Caenorhabditis elegans: one gene and its partner. The protein of the gene in region 1 purifies or fractionates together with the protein of each later gene. This does not show direct contact. Each region holds a gene or a part of one and is shown on either strand. Other genes may lie near its edges.

What was found.
Region 2: the proteins of lev-10 (region 1) and lev-9 purify together in Caenorhabditis elegans (affinity purification with a luminescence readout, with the first as the bait; one study listed by BioGRID). This does not show direct contact.

What each region holds. Positions count from the first base shown.
Region 1 is NC_003279.8:14,386,595-14,395,091, reverse strand, and holds the start of lev-10 (CUB domain-containing protein), read right to left. Parts: upstream 4,760-8,497; 5' UTR 4,710-4,759; coding exon 4,634-4,709; intron 3,233-4,633; exon of another isoform or gene 3,086-3,232; coding exon of another isoform or gene 2,889-3,085; intron 1,768-2,888; coding exon 1,643-1,767; intron 1,546-1,642; coding exon 1,463-1,545; intron 1,335-1,462; coding exon 1,123-1,334; intron 1-1,122. Other genes in the region: eat-18 (uncharacterized protein), read right to left, coding at 1,506-1,545, 2,889-3,085.
Region 2 is NC_003284.9:6,286,623-6,295,252, reverse strand, and holds the start of lev-9 (Protein lev-9), read left to right. Parts: upstream 1-3,703; 5' UTR 3,704-3,725; coding exon 3,726-3,906; intron 3,907-3,971; coding exon 3,972-4,154; intron 4,155-4,703; coding exon 4,704-4,831; intron 4,832-4,883; coding exon 4,884-4,959; intron 4,960-5,028; coding exon 5,029-5,202; intron 5,203-5,579; coding exon 5,580-5,838; intron 5,839-5,892; coding exon 5,893-6,053; intron 6,054-6,097; coding exon 6,098-6,202; intron 6,203-6,249; coding exon 6,250-6,432; intron 6,433-8,207; coding exon 8,208-8,366; intron 8,367-8,408; coding exon 8,409-8,564; intron 8,565-8,609; coding exon 8,610-8,630. Other genes in the region: mom-1 (Protein-serine O-palmitoleoyltransferase porcupine), read right to left, coding at 1-38, 473-722, 787-976, 1,979-2,126. UniProt on the Caenorhabditis elegans protein: Scaffolding protein that is necessary to cluster acetylcholine receptors at neuromuscular junctions.

The DNA of each region.
Region 1 (8,497 bases):
CGGGATCATGGCTGAGTTTTCATTAATTTTTTTTCCAGTTTTTGATCGTTTTTTAAGATTATAATAAAATTCTCGTTCAACTCTCGTGATCCGCAAAATCAATTTTTTTAAAAAAATTTTATTTTTCCGTGGATTTTTGCTCCGAAAAGGAGCATTTTCGGATGCAATTTGTTGGGATTTTAGAAAGGATTTTATGAGATTTTGGGATTTTTACGGTCTTCGGACCGAGTTAGTGACATTTTCACAATTTTTCCCATTTTTCTGGTAATCCCTTGAAAGTTGGAATTGTTCTCCCTAAGCGTAAGCCTATGCCTAAGCATAATATTAAGCATAAGCCTAAGCCTAAGCCCAATCCTAAACCTAAAAAAAACATTTAAAAAAACTAGCAAATTTTTAATTAAATGGGCTTGAATCGGACAATGTTTTGGTCAAAATCGGAGTACTTTTGGTAAAAAATGGGACTATTTTTTGGTCAAAATCGGACTATTTTTGGTCGAAATCCAACTATTTTTGGCCAGAATCGGGCAATTTTTAGTCACAATTTTTAGGCAATTTTTGGTCAAAATCCGACCATTTTTGATCAAAATTGGACTATTTTTTGCTCAAAATCGGACTATTTTCAGATCAAATTCGGACTATTTCTGGTTAAAATCGGACTATTTTTTGTTAAAATCGGACTATTTTTGATCAAAATCGGACTATTTTAAGGTCAAAATCGGACTATTTTTGGCCGAAATCAAACTATTTTTTGAAAAAGCGGAATATTTTTAGTCGAAATTGGACTATTTTCCGTCAAAATCGGACTATTTTAAGGTCAAAATCGGACTATTTTTGGCCGAAATCAAACTATTGTTTGTTAAAATCGGACTATTTTTGATCAAAATCGGACTATTTTAAGGTCAAAATCGGACTATTTTTGGCCGAAATCAAACTATTGTTTGTAAAATTGGAATATTTTTGGTCAAAAATGGGACTATTTTTGTGCCAAAATTAGGCAATTTTTCGTCTAAATTAGACTATTTTTGATCAAAAGCGGACAATTTTTTGATCAAAATTGGACTATTTTTGGCCAAAAAATAGTCATATTTTGACTAAAAATAGTCCGATTTTGACCACACTTACCTTCTGGAATAAACGAATATTTGGCTCGAAATCCATGATTATCCTCATGATTTGTCGAACGGGAATGTAAAACGAGTTTCATGACGCGTCGTAGGCTGATTCTAACGTGAGGCGCCACAGTACCACAGTAGCGACCTCCGAGTGCGGATGAGAGAATATCCTCGTCGACCGACTCGACTTCAGAGTAAATATCTACATATTCTATATCACAGCTGAAATTAAATTACGGGTTTTTTAGGGAGCCATATTTGCACTTTGATCTACGAAAAATTCGGGAGATTTCTCTGAAATTCCCGCATTTTTTGTAGATCAAACCGTGTATTTGGCGAAAAAAACTCACTTCTCAGAACTACCCGATAGGAGAAAATGGTCGAATTCGAGCCTTACACGCTGCCTCGATCCCGCAACAAACGTGTATACACACTGGAAATTTAGGGAAATTTAGGAAATTTTAAATTAAATTTTTTTTCGATAATTATAAATTTTGAGGTTTAAAAATTTAAAATCCCCCCGCGCGTACTTGCAAATTATATTGCTGCTCTGGTTTCGAGTTGTTCACCCCATGGCTCAACGCCAACTGCTTCGGCAGGCTCGGGAACTCGATGACACCTTCCGGTTGAGACTCGTCAAAGTGTTGATCGCATTCTGGAAAGGTTGGGGGTGGGTGGTGAGGGGTATCTGAAGCTCGCGCGCAGAAAGTTTGTCGAAAAGTGTGTGTGAAAAGCCTAGTTTGGACTAAAAAAAACCACCAACTTGTGAGAATTTTTTTTTCGATTTTTCCGGAAACCCCCCTTTCGTTTTGAACATGGTGCATCGATTGTTCAACTACAGAACTATAAAAAAGGCAATTTTTTTTTAATTCCGAAAATTTGCCGGAAATTTTCAATTCCGGCAATTTTCCGAAAAAAAATGTGCGAAACCACAAGTTGCCAGAAATTCCGCCAGTTGCCGTTTTTCCGGCAAATGCGGCACTTTGCCGATTTGCCGGATATCTCAATCCAAGAAATTTACCAATTTTCCGGAATTTCAAAATCCAGCAGTGTGTCGATTTGCCGGAAATTTTCATTTTCGACAATTTGTCAATTTTCCGAAATTTTTCAATTCCGACAATTTACAGGTTTGCCGATTTGCCGGAAATTTTCAATTTCGGCAATTTGCCAACTTGCCGGAAATTATCAATTCCGGCAATCTGCTAATTTGCCTGAAATTTCAATTCCTGAAATTTGCCGATTTGCCGGAAATTTTCAATACCGGCAATTTGTCGGTTTGTTGATTTGCCGATTTGCCGGAAATTATCAATTCCGGCAATTTGCCAGTTTACCAATTTGCCGGAAATTTTAATTTTCAGCAATTTGCCAATTTTCTGCCCATCCCTGGTTCAGATTATCCTTTTTCAAGGTTCGAGTTTGTTGTATGCTCATAATTTGTTCTGAACATATAATTCGGCAAATCGACAGTTTGCCGGTTTGCCGGTTTGCCGATTCGCCGGAAATTTTCAATTCCGGCAATTTGCCGATTTGCAGAAAACAGTCTATTGCCGCCCATTCCCCGATCGATGCACCATGATAAAAACTAGTTTGACATCGGTTTGCCGACTTGCCGGATTATGTAAATTCCGGCAAATATACCGATTTTCCGGAATTTTCAAATCCGGCAATTTGCCGATTTGCCGGAATTTTCAAATCCGGCAATTTGCCGATTTGCAGGAGAAAGCCGTTTGAAATAAAGAATTCCCTAGCCCAAAAAAAGTAAAACCAAAAACTCACTCCTCATACTGCAGGACCCCTTTCAGCCAGAACACCATAATCAAAACTAGCAAACAGGCAATGACAATAGTGAATAAAAGGGCAAAAATAATATCACAATCCAGAGCCCGACATCTGGCACAGTCCTCCTTAGTCTCCTTGGAGTCCCATTCCAAAAGTTCTATACGGGTCTCAACGATTCGCTCCAGGCTTCGCATGGCTCTGCGGGGACCGGGGGGACAGTCGGGGCCTGGGGGGACACAGTGGGGGACAGGGGGGACAGTGGGGGACTGGGGGGACACAGTGGGGGACAGGGGAACACAGTCGGGGTCTGGGGGGACAAAGGGGACAGGGGTAAATAATTGTGAGGGGTAGGGGAGGGGGGGGAGGTATGGAATATTTGGGGGGGGGGGGGTATGTATTGGGGGAGGCGGTATAAGAGCAAATATTTAAGAGGGAGAGAGTTAGGAAAAGAGAAAAATAAAGTTTGCTCGGAAGAATAGAGGAAAAGAGACGGGGATGGATTTAAAACTACGTTTCAAAATGCTAAAAAAGAGGGCCTTAGATGTGTGTGTACGAAAAAAGAAGATTAGAGTGATGGATTGGAATTCTGTCTCCCTCTTGGGAATTTTGGAGCAATACCTACCTAAAACGGCACTAGAGGGGGCTGCTGAACAAGTTCTCCCCCACTTAGAATCCACTTAAATACACAGACACACACACACTTTTCGATATACTTTTTGCGCTGCGAGGCTCCTAAGCTTGTCTGAGCATTTTTCGAAGAGTTTGATTTGAGGGGAATTGTGTTACATAGTTGGACGAAATTTGGTAATTTTGAGAAAAACATTTTTTAGAAAAAATTTTTTTTTTTTTTTGGGTCACTGTTGGCTTCACAATCAGGCGAGTATTAAATTTTTACATATTTTTTTGTATTATACAGTCTTAAATTAGTAAGTTATAGTTGAATTTTAAACTATTTGAAAAATTTTATGAAAAAAACATTTTTTTGAAAAAATTTAAGGGGAACAATTCCAAAAATTACCAAACATTTTTTCCAAAAAAAAATTTTTTTTTTTGAAATTATTTTTTAAGAGGTGAGTCGGATATAGTCGGATAGTTATAGCCTCAAAATTTCAAAATTCTTACAAAACCCCGAAGCTCTTTTTTCTGTTGAAATTTCCAATTTTCCAAAGATTTTCGAATTTTTGGACGATTTTTCTGAAATATTTCGATAGTTTTGAATATTAAATTTATTATAGAGTTTAAATTTAATTTTTTCTGATTAATAGTGAACTATGGAACAATTTCAAAAAAAATAAAAAATTTTTTTTGGATTTTCGAAAAGAATTTTTTTTTTTATATTTAAAAATTTCCAAAAAGTGCAGTTTTTCGAAAATTTTTGTTCTGATAAATTATTTTTTAACATTTTATTAACGAAGTGAAAAATCAGGCGTAAAAATATTTAGGAAAAAATCTAGAAATAATCGAAAATTTTGTTTTTTTAATTTTAGATTTTACGGATTTTCTGGAATTAAAATGTTTTGTTTAAATTAACTTTTTGCAACTTTCTACTTTTCTAGTTGAATATTTGTTTTAAAATATATTAAAAATTTTGTGTTTCAAAATTTTCGAAAAATTAAATTTTCTTCAAATATTTTGGAAAAACCTATGTTCTCTCAAAATGCCCTTCTTCCATTTTTCTCTCTCCAAAATGCTCATTACAACAAGCTTCATATTAAAAAAATGTCAAAAAAAAAAAAACTCACGAAAAATAGTTTTTCTACTATTACCGTCTGCCTTGGAAACGAATATGGACAGTAGGAATAGGTAGATCAAATGCATATTCATTCATTTCATCAGGGAACACGTAATATGGAGAATAAGAGTGTTATCTGAAAAATATTTATTAATGAAAATCGTTAAAATAAAGTGCAACAGTCTATTTCAGCAAGATGTTCGAAAAAGTTCAATTAAAAATACGGAAAATCAGCTAAAAATGCAAAAAATCGATGGTCAAAGGTGTGCGGCAGGGGTGTGCGGCAAACTCGCCGAATTTGCCGAATTTGCCGTTTGCCGAGCTCGCCAATATGCCGAATTTGCCGAGCACGGCAAATTTCAAAAAAGTAGATTTGCCGAATTTGCCGAGCTCGGCAAATTTCGAAATTTGACACACACCCCTGGAGTGCGGCATTATTATATAAGGTTATATATATTTATGGTAAGGAAATCATGTTTATAATAAAGCATACAATAAGTAGAACGATTTTTTAAGGCTAGTCATCAGTCCATATAAGGTTATATATATAAGGTTATATAAGGTTATATATATATTTTTTTTTTATTCGTTCACGTTTTAAAGAAATGGAAAGAAGAAGAATCAAAGGATTTAAAAAGGACAAAACATGTGATCGATAAGATGATCAAGTAACCGAATAATATATATATATATATATAAGGTAAGGAAATCATGTTTATAATAAAGCATACAATAAGTAGAACAATTTTTAGGCTAGTCATCAGTCCATTTTTTTAAAAAGTTCACTTGCAGAATATCGCTTCACAACAATTTCACCAAATTTTACCAAATTCTGAGAAAATGGAGGTCAAAAATAAGTAATGGTTTCTCAATGAGCATTGGTTTATATTAATGACCCTATTCAGTTATTAAACGCTCCACTGCTCAGCCAAAAAATAACCTACTTACTATTGGAATACTCAGTCCTAAGTGAGTACCCTAAATAAAATAAGTAAGTATGAATGATCCTATCTTGTTTTTAGGCACAAAATACATCTCAGGTTCTATTTGAGGCTACTAGAACCTAGATCCTTCAAATATAGAATAAAAACCTTAGATTTTCATTAGAAACTCTAACTACACTATTACAAGGTGGGTTATATATATAACTTAGCTACTTTTCTTTTTATGAATTAAGGAGTTTTATCTAAAGGTCCTATAAGCCTTTTAAATAAAAAAGCTCATTTCCTAACCGAGTAGTACATGTTGGAAAAGTTCGAGAAAAAGAGAGAAAACCGGGGTCACTGCAATCTGAGAAGACGAGAAAATTAAATAATGAAATTCCGAAAATGAAAGAAGGAAACGAATGGAAATAGTATCCTCCAAGGGGAAAAACTAAAAGAGTCCCCTCTTCCGCGCAAAAAAGCGGGGAATAGATTATTATGAGAGAGAGGGCGGCGAGGGGGCAGAGAAGAACATATGTGACGGGAAAAATGCAGAAAATGTTGAGAAGGGGGAGCAAGAAGGAAAAAGCAAGAAGAAAAAGAAGAATTCCATTATTATGTCTTCTGAAGAGAAGTCGTGTAACCAGTGCGCTGTCTAATCCATGATGATGAGGGGAGAAGGAGAAGAAATATGAATGTGTAGATTGCACTAAAGCTTATATGATTGTTACTGATGTTGCACGAGAAAATGGAAACTCCAAAAATAACAAGTATAAGGAAATAACAAGAGTCTTGGAATTGAAGAACCGTTGTGCTAGTCTGATATTACCTTCTTGCCAGGCCACTAGTACCTGATAGTAGAATAGGAATGCATTAAATTTGTTTCGAGGGATAATATATTTATTCCATTTATACTCAAATTAACAAAACTTGATTTTTTTTGATTTTTTCGCGCTCCATTGACCTGGACAACGCGTGGGAAAATCGTGCACTCCACACGGACAACTACATTAAGTTTTACAACTAAAATCGAGCCGCGACGCGACACGCAACGCGCCGTAATTCTACCCCAGATATGGCCGAGCCAAAATGGCCTTGTTCGGCAAACTCTTCCATCTCAATTTATGAGGGGAGCCAGAAATCCATGTAGGCGCTACTTTACACTCAAAATAAAGAAACTGCGTGGCGTGTACTGCAGAAAACCTAATATTTAGGCCGCGCCTTTTTCTCGTCCACTTACGGAGAAAAGGCAAAAATTTTTTGACCCCAACCAATATCAGGCCGCCGACTTCTCACGGGTTCCGCGCGCCGCTATGTTTAACTCGCAGCAGGCGGAGACAGCTCGCCACGCCCACAGCGAGTTAAACGCAGCGGCGCGCGGAACCCGTGAGATGTCGGCGGCCTGATATTGGTTGGGGTCGCGAATTTTGCCTTTTCCCCGTGAGTGGACGAGAAAAAGGCGGGGCCTAAATATTAGGTTTTCTGCAGTATACGCCACGCAGTGTTTCTTTATTTTGAGTGTACATCAGGGGTGTGCGGCAAATCTCAAAATTTGCCGAGCTCGGCAAATTCGGCAAATCTCTTTTTTCAATATTTGCCGAGCACGGCAAATTCGGCAAATTTGCCGTGCTTAACAAACTCGGAAAATTTTGATAATTTTTGATGTTTTTTGGAACACCAAAACTACCGCATTCTTAACACACATCTGGTTTCTGAATTAGTTCCGTGTAGTATGTCTGCTTAAGCATAAAACTAACTCAATTTTGTGTCATTTTACTAAATTTTTGGCGAAAAATCAATAATTTTAGTCAAAATTGTACTGTAAAATTTTTGACGTGTGCGGCAAATTTCGAAATTTGCCGAGCTCGGCAAACGGCAAATTCGGCAAATTTGCCGCACACCCCTGGTGTACATCCTGACTTTTGGGAATATACCGTATTTGAATTATTTGATGGCACCGTTTAAAATATTAAAAAGAAATTCAGGCTGTCTCATTGCGGTTTGATCTACGAACAATGCGGGAATATTTTTCCAGAAAAATTGTGACGTCAGCACGCTCTTAACCATGCGAAATCAGATGAAATGTCTGCGTCTAAATTCCCGCATTTTTCGAAGATAAAAGCGAAATGGGACTTTCTGACTCCACGTGGATCGATCTAAAAGTGGAACACATTTCAAACATTTTAATATTTTTTAAAGTAGGGTTCACAGTTTTGACGTTAGCATAAAAATCACTTAAGTTTCGCGAAACAGGAATCACACACAGAAAACTTATTGTGAATTAAAGTCAAAAATTGAAGCTACCGTATATTCTCTATTATAGCGGCACGCCTCAATATATAATCCTATTTCAGAAACAGTCAGCGGAAAAAATACGAAATATCATGGTGGAATGACTAATCCGCTAGATAATTGAAAAGAAAATGTATATTTGGATGAAAATGAGGATTTTTGTTTTGAGGATATACCATTACTACGGCCAGATTGGATAAATAACATTAAACAGAATGATTACGTTGTTATAATTGTAAAAGCCAAGATCTCTGTGGACCAGGGGTGAGCGGCAAACGATTTGTTGCAGCAAAATTTTTTTTGTTGAAAATATCAGAATTTCAATTTTAATCGGAAAAAATGTGTTCCTACATCTATTCATGTTCCTACATCTATTCTGAAAAGCAGGCATATTCTAAGAAAATATCTTTTAAAAAACCCGGAAAATTTTCAAAAAGACACATTATAAAAAAATTGGGTCTAAAAACTTCTGGCAAGTTCATATCCGGCAAACCGGAAAATTGCCGGAATTGAAAATTTCCGGCGAATCGGCAAACCGGCAATTTGCCGACAATGAAAAATTCGGGAAACTTGGCCAACCGGAATATTGCCGAAAATAAAAATTTCCGGCAAGTCGGACAAACCGGCAATTTGCCGGAATTGAACATTTTCGACAACTC
Region 2 (8,630 bases), on another chromosome or scaffold:
ATTGCAAGGAGAGACTGAATAATGAAGCCGAGCTCATTCTAAAAATAGTGATATATTATTCTTATTATTACCAATGAAATCTCGGGTTTTTAATTGAAGGAGGACTCACGGGTCAATTTTTTATTATTATTCTTCAAAAGTCCCCGAAAAACTAAACGTCATAATTGAAGTTCTTACAAATTGCTAAAAACGTTTAGGGGTTTCGAAACTTTTTAAAAAATTGCCAAATTTTAATTGAAGTTTCCTATTTTGCTGACAGTTCTGTTTTACAGCAATCGGAGGCTGGTTTGTAGTTATGTTACACTTTTTATTCAAAAGTAGCGCTCCTATAAGGTCAACTCTGAAATCAAATTCAAAACTGTAGCCATGGTTTAAAATTTTCTGATTAAAAATTTTGAAACGTATTTAACACTTTGACACTTAGAACTTACTAATAGTCTTACGACTTAGTTCCCAAAACTTCACAACAAACCTCAGATCCTGTCCACTTTTTGTCTCTCATTTTGAAAAACTGCTCAAAACTCAAATAGGGCCCGAAAATGATGAACGGTGGGAAGTAAATGTACTCAACATAACTGGAAAACTGAACAAATCGGAATTTGTTGCTATTCGCTTTTTCCAGATTGAAGGCAACCGTGGTCAGTCTCATTATATGGATCATCAAAATTCCACGAATGGACAAAAAGTAGTCTTCGGATCTGTAGTGTCGGCAGAAGTTTTGCCTAAAAATTTTTTAATTTGTCCCACAAATTTTACAAACGCTTGACTTATAAAAAAAATACTTACAATGCAATCAGAAGAGAGATGTTCCCTGCAAGAATGATGTATCCACTAAATTGTTTGATGGCCAGTGCAAGCGATATCAAACTGAACATGTTGTAAATGATAGCCGATTGTAGGTGATTTCTTGAAAACCACATAACTGTGAAAGTACTGGCGAAGACATGTACATAGACACGAACCGTTGTTGAAATTGCTACAAAAAGGGGAATTAATTTGCTAAAAGACTGAAATTGACCAGTTTTTGAAAAAATCACACAAAACTGATTTACTACTATGATTTCTTAAATTTTGCAACTATAAAAATACTCAGTAACTTTTGAATTCCCGAACGAATGAATGACTTGGTTTCGAAATTTTCACGTTTTCCTTCTAAAATAATAGGTTTAGTATGTTTTTCAATACATACATAATTTGAAACATCGGTTATCAAATTATGAAACATTTTTCTGTGGATAAAATTTTCTATCCAGTAGGAAACTCTGTTAATTATTTAGTTTGTTAATTAGTTTATTAGTAATTAGTTAATTATTTATTAATTTAGTTAATTATTAGTTAATAGTAATTAGTTAATTAGTTTATAAAACCGCACTACTAAAAGAGTATGCAGATGTAAAAACCACATCTGTGGTGCTAAAATGACCAGATATCATGTTAAAACTTTTCAAAAAATTTTAGAACCTTTTTTCTGACTGTCAAAATGTGGCAATTTTTGAGTTTTCGCCAATATTCGAGATAAATATAGCACTGTCGCATGCTCGAATCCCTACAATGTTTAAATATTAATGTTTGAAACAAGAACATAAAATTCAAAGGAAATTTTTTCAATAGACAACTTTTAAAGATGGATGCAGAAACTGAGTTTTTACCACTTATTGAAACAAAATAAGAAGTTTCGTAAAGTGCTAATATAATAGTTGGCTATTTTTGCACCATAGAAGTCGTTTTTAACAATTTCCGCACTGGCGTTACTCCACTTAAGACTACCGTCTCACCATGGAGCTCTTATCTCTAGCTAGATCAGTCTTACTTTGTGAAAATTTTAGTCATTTTTTTTTTGGCAAGATTAATAAAGCAAGCACATGTGTTTTCCAATTTGAACATAACAACAAATTAGAAACAAATTTGTTTGAAACAAAGTTTTTAAAACATTTTGTTAGGTATTTTTGTCTCAGTTTATATTTTTATCAAAACTTACGTATATGTTTGATGAATTTGAATGCAACGACCAAACATATCAACTTTGAAATTGTGAGAAATGTTGCATTTGCCACTTGTGTCGAGCACTCTCCAAGCGATCCATCTTCTAATAATTCGAATTCTTCATACCCGTGACCATTATCCATTTTCTGAAAATTTTTGAAATTGATGAAATATTAACGATTACCAAACGGCAAAAAAACTAAAAAGCTAGAAAAAACCTAGAATTAACCCAGAAAACCCAATTCAAACCAAAACAAAAACAACTGTCTGTACGAGTGAAATAGAGCGAATTTGCATAGTTCTTGCGTCTAACAAAAGGGGACAAATGTAAACGAGGCTACGCCGGAATGTGGGGAGAGGTCACACACAACAGATGTGCCTTGGACATGCAACCAAAGTTTTATGGTCGGATCGGTCAAGTGAAGTACATTTAAGCGTAACATGGTAAATCAAACAAATGGAACCAAAAAAAGTATAGTTTTGTTGGGGGAAGATTTGAGTGTCCCTAAAAGAATTAAAGTTTTATTTCGGAGATTGCGGTTCATTTTTACAACGGTCAGCACTATTGTTTGATGAGTTCATTTTACAGATATGTGATGAAATTACAAATTACATATTTAAAATGAAAAAAGACAAGATAACAGTTTTTGCAAAAAATAATGTTTAAGATCATCTCTTGTTTTCTCAATAATAGAGAGCAATAAAAAACCATTTTCCAAAAAAAAAAAAATGAAATTAGCTGCACTTTCTCGTCCGCGAGAAGCTATTTTTCTTCATCTCAACAGCAAACCAACAACTCGCAGAACACCCCCCCCCCCCCCGCTTCACAGGAACACCTCGCGGGGAGGCAACCAGTTTGTCAATGGGTGAGAGAGAAAATGTATGTATATTCACTTGCGTCTCTTACTCAAATGCCGTACGGGGGTATAGCTCAGGGGTAGAGCGCTCGCTTTGCATGCGAGAAGTCTGGGGTTCGATTCCCCATACCTCCAGATATTTTTTTATTTTTCAAAATGATTTTTTCACTTGTCCAATTTATTCCATTTCGAGAATGTTTTTTGCACTTTTTTTAAAATTCAACTATGGGGAAACAGTTCTGAAATAGCAAGCATTAATTATTGTTCTAAAAGTGCGGCGATTTGACAGAAATTTTCATTTTCGGCCATCTGCCGAAACTAAACTCAATTTGCCAAATACTTTTTAAGGGATTTTTCATAAGCAAAACATTTACAATTGTAACCTGTTTCCTGTTTTTTTATATTTTTCAGTCTACCAATTTTTTTGCAAAATCTCAAACTTCCACAATCATTCAAACCTAAAAGGCGATTTCCAAATAGGACGTTTGCCAAAAAATATGATTTGTCGCCCCTGCGATAAACTTGTATTTCTTCACTGATATTTCTCAAAATTCTCCCCTTTTTTGAATTCAAATTTTGGAGAAAAATAAAATAAAAAAATAAAGATTTTTCTGTAACCCTGTGAAAGTTGTGAAAACCGCAAAAATCACATCAAAATACCTTCACCTCTAATTTTTCAGCAGTCAGTTCCTATTTGCCACAATGTCCCGCAGCAAATAATTGATCAGACAAGCATGATACTCGAGCAACTTTACAATGGGAACCCTTGAAAAGACCCCAATCAATCAATACATTGCGTGTCAGCTGGTGAAAGAATGCCGTCTTGCAAGAACTCAAGCGGATTTCTCTTTTAAAATTTTCATAGTACCAAATCACATGAATTAAATGCGATTTCTACTACTACTCGCCATCTCCATTACCTACGCGTCGGCCCTATCTTGTCCGGAAGTTACTCTATCACAACGGCCGAAACATTGCAAAAAAGAGTGTATAGCAGACGAAGATTGTAAAAGAAACAAAAGATGTATGTGCGACGGAGAATGTGGCTTGAGCTGTGTGAACCCAAGTGAGTGATAAAAATATCTTGTCTATTGAGCAATATAAAAAATGAACTTTTTTGTTTTTATTCAGTTGCAATGTGCCACCCACTTCCAAATATTGAAAATGGATTTATACGAACTGCTGGTGATTTGCGATTTGGATCAAATGCAGAATATGGATGCAACAAGGGATATATACTAGTTGGTGCCAGTCAGAGAAGATGTCAGGCTAACAAAGAATGGAGTTCTTCACAACCTGTTTGCAGGTTACAATGTATTTTTTCAAGTTCCTTATTTAAAAAAATTATGTTTACGGGTTCAAAATAAAATAAGAAGATTTTTTAAGTGCACAAATAGTTAAACCTAAGTTTTTTGAAAAAACAATATAAAGATATAACAAAATTTATAGCAAGATAAACAAAAAATCAAATGCACTAAAAGATAATATCAAAATATCACCAATTTTGTGAAACAAACAATTTCAAATCTACTTTACTCAACGAAAAAAGATTTCAGCTTTTATCGAGCAGTTGATAAATTTAGTTGATTGGTGGCGGTGAGCTGTCAGCTGTCAAGTGGTTTAAAATTTAAAAAAAAAACGGTTAGGGGTATTCAGAAATAAATTAGCCTTACAAAAAAGGTTTTCACCACTAAAGTTCAATCTAACCAAATCAACTTGATTGAATACCAAAACATCGATCCAGAATATCTAGGAATTTTGTTTAAGAATTTTCTAAATTATGTGACTACAGAATTGCATGATTCCTCATCCAATGCTTTACGTTTCTTATCGACACTGCCGTATAATCCCAAAATATTTCAGTAAAATGCGGGCCACCACCGGAAATTCCATTTGCCGTTCACGACGGGTCTTCATTTTCCGGAGAGTATGACCTTGATGCTGAAGTTGCTTATAATTGCATACCAGGCTATCACAAATTCAACGCAAAAGTGAGACTTAAATCAAAATTCTCCATTTTATCTTTAAAAATAATGCTTACAGGGTCTTTCAATATCAAAATGTCTGTTGAATCGGAAAAATGTTGCACAATGGTTTGGACCTGATTTGAGATGTAAAGGTAAAACTTTGAAAATTTGAAAAAATGCGAAAAACTTAAACTTGCCCAATAAGTCAATGCAACTTTTAGCAAGAGCATGTCCGGATCCCGGAGATATAGAAAATGGTCTTCGAGAGGGAGATACATTTGAATATCCCCATCACGTCAAGTATTCATGTAACCCTGGTTTTCTTCTTGTCGGTTCGACTTCCCGTCAATGCTCCAGTAACGGAGAATGGACAAATGAGCCGGCTAATTGTAAAGGTACACTTTGAAAAAATTGAAAAAAAAAAACAATAAAAATGTTTTGTTGGTAGCCAGTTTGTTTTATTGAGCAACAAGTCAGTTTCGTTCGCTGGTGGCAACCGCAATATATCCACAGTAACCCTAAATCTTACAAAACTCTCTTGAGTAGAAATTGTGTGAATAGTGTTCCATGATCTGTGTGCGCGGACCACTCAAAATACCCAGAAAACGTAAGATGTTCGGGCGATAGTTATCCATCACGGACCTCGATAGTTGTACCACACGTTTTATATAGGCCACAAAAAAGATCAAAAATCAGAATACATAAGGACATACTGAAATACACTGCAAATTACCTATGTTATAATAAATTAACAACTCATAAACTTTTCCAGCTACTGAATGCTCTCGTCCGTCAAGCCCACTTCATGGAAAAGTTGTCGGTAGCTCATTGACATACCAGTCCGTTGTGACGTACTCCTGTGATCATGGTTATCGCCTCGTTGGTCAAGTTCAACGAATATGTTTAGCTGAGGGAATATGGGGAGGAAATGAGCCGCGATGTGAAGAAATTCGATGTTCAGTACTTCCAACCCTTCCCAATGGATACATTGAGGGCAGTGAAACGTCATTCGGAGCTGTCGCAGTTTTCAGGTAACGATTTTCCAAATCTAAACAAATTTATGTTTCTTAAATGTTTAAATTCAGGTGCTTGGAAACAATGACTCACGAGGGAGCGTCAAAGGCAAAATGCATGGAAGATGGTCAATGGAGTGCTCCGATTCCAAGATGTTTAGCTTCTTGTAGAGTACCACATATACAAAATGGAAAAATAAGAGACAAAAGCGAAGGTCAACTCATTGCGTCCGGTAGTTGTTTTTCTAAAGTTTAGAATAATTCATTCAAGTTTCAGGTTCCAAAGTGATTGTTGAATGCAATAAGCAACACGAAGCAAACATCGATGAACGCCTAATTTGTAGCAATTCCACATGGTCACATGTTCCAGTTTGTAGTCCTTGTAAGTTTAATTTTAAAATAGCATAAAACCACAGCTTTTCTTTTCAGTAAGCTGCCACAATTGGCCGCCAAGGGTTCCACATGCTCGAATTCTATTCTCGAAATCATCGCACGGCTCAATCGCCAAATATGAATGCAACAATGGTTATCATCCAAACAGAAATAATCAAATTATAAAATGTCTTTATGGAGAATGGACTAAAGACGGACCACCAATGAAATGTTTACCAAGTGCGTTACTCACAGGCCGAAAAGTGGTACACATCTGTCCAATTTTTCTACCGCATACTTTGACGTAGAGGTGTCAACGTGTTGTGGGCCGATCCAAAACTCAGTCGCAGGCCGACACATTACCACCTCTGATCTTTAGACGCATTTTTCTCCAAAAAGGGTGATCATTTGTAAATGATGTATCAAACCACAAGAAACATCATAATGATTGGATCAAACATTTTTTCCTTTTGCTCCGTTGCACTGACTACTTGCATTTGCGCTGATCACTTGCATTTGCACTGACCACTTGCATTTGCACTGATCACTTGCATTTGCACTGACCACTTGCAGTTGCACTGATTACTTGGATTTGCACTGACCACTTGCAATTGCACTGACCACCTGCATTTGCACTGACCAGTTGCAGTTGCACTGACCAATTTTAGTTGCACTGACCAGTTGCATTTGCACTGACCACTTGCATTTGAATTTCTTGAATTTGAGTTTATTTAACTAAAAGAAGAGAAATAAACAAATAAAACGAGACGAACCCTAAAAGAGTTCAACTCGAGTAAAAGTTACAAAAAAAGGAAATAAGATAATAGGGAACAGGTGAAACGGGGAGAAAGACGAGAATGGAGGTAAAAGTGTAGTTATAACCGGGGGATGTTGAGATGAATAAATTCACAGAACTGATATGGGGACATAAAAACCGTAACATTTTTGAATAAGTTGTTCCAGACTGGGATGATAAGAGCAAAGAAATGCGTGGAGCATTTGTCCTTCCTAACTAAAATCATTTGCACTGACCACTTGCAGTTGCACTGATTACTTGCATTTGCACTGACCACTTGCAATTGCACTGACCACCTGCATTTGCACTGACCAGTTGCAGTTGCACTGACCAATTTTAGTTGCACTGACCAGTTGCATTTGCACTGACCACTTGCGATTGCACTGACCACCTGCATTTGCACTGACCAGTTGTAGTGCACTGATCACTTGCATTTGCACTGACCACTTGTAGTGCACTGACCAAAATTAGTGCACTGACCAGTTGCAGTGCACTGACCATGACCAGTTGTAGTGCACTGACCAGTTGCAGTGCACTGACCAGTTGTAGTGCACTGACCAGTTGCAGTGCACTGACCAGTTGTAGTGCACTGACCAGTTGCAGTGCACTGACCAGTTGTAGTGCACTGACCAGTTGCAGTGCACTGACCAGTTGTAGTGCACTGACCAGTTGCAGTGCACTGACCAGTTGTAGTGCACTGACCAGTTGCAGTGCACTGACCAGTTGTAGTGCACTGACCAGTTGCAGTGCACTGACCAGTTGCAGTTGCACTGACCAATTTAAGTTGCACTGACCAGTTGCAGTTGCACTGACCAATTTAAGTTGCACTGACCAGTTGCAGTTGCACTGACCAATTTAAGTTGCACTGACCAGTTGCAGTTGCACTGACCAGTTGCAGTTGCACTGACCAATTTAAGTTGCACTGACCAATTTAAGTTGCACTGACCAGTTGCAGTTGCACTGACCAATTTAAGTTGCACTGACCAGTTGCAGTTGCACTGACCAATTTAAGTTGCACCAGTTGCACTGACCAATTTAGTTGCACTGACCAGTTACAGTTGCACTGACCAATTTTAGTTGCACTGACCACTTGCAGTTGCACTGACCAATTTTAGTTGCACTGACCAGTTGCAGTTGCACTGACCAATTTAAGTTGCACTGACCACACTTGTCGAGCCGTTTATCATTCAAATTTTTTTTTATTTTCAATAAAGTTTAGGTTGGTGTGAACACCCTAGCAAAACATATGGAACACTTCCTGGCGGACAAATACTTCTGGAGGGAATCCTTGGTGCATACGAGTTTCAAAGTTATATTCAAAAAGTAGAAGAAGGGAGAGCTATCAGTTTTCAGTGTGGGAAGGGCAATTATTTGATTGGTAACCTATGCATTCTTTCTTTCAAAATAATCGGTCTTGTAGGGCCCCCTAAGGCAACTTGTGTGAATGGTGAATGGATGCCAAAAGTGTCACCCAAATGTGTTTCGCAAACGCATCCAATGATTGAAGGAAAAATTCTTTGGGACCGAAAAAAACGAAGTTTGCCTGGCAGAGCCGTAAGAGAATATGTCGATGATGGTACTTTATAATAGTGATGCATTTTTTCAGTTATTTTTATTTCAGAACTATCAACTCATCGGCAAC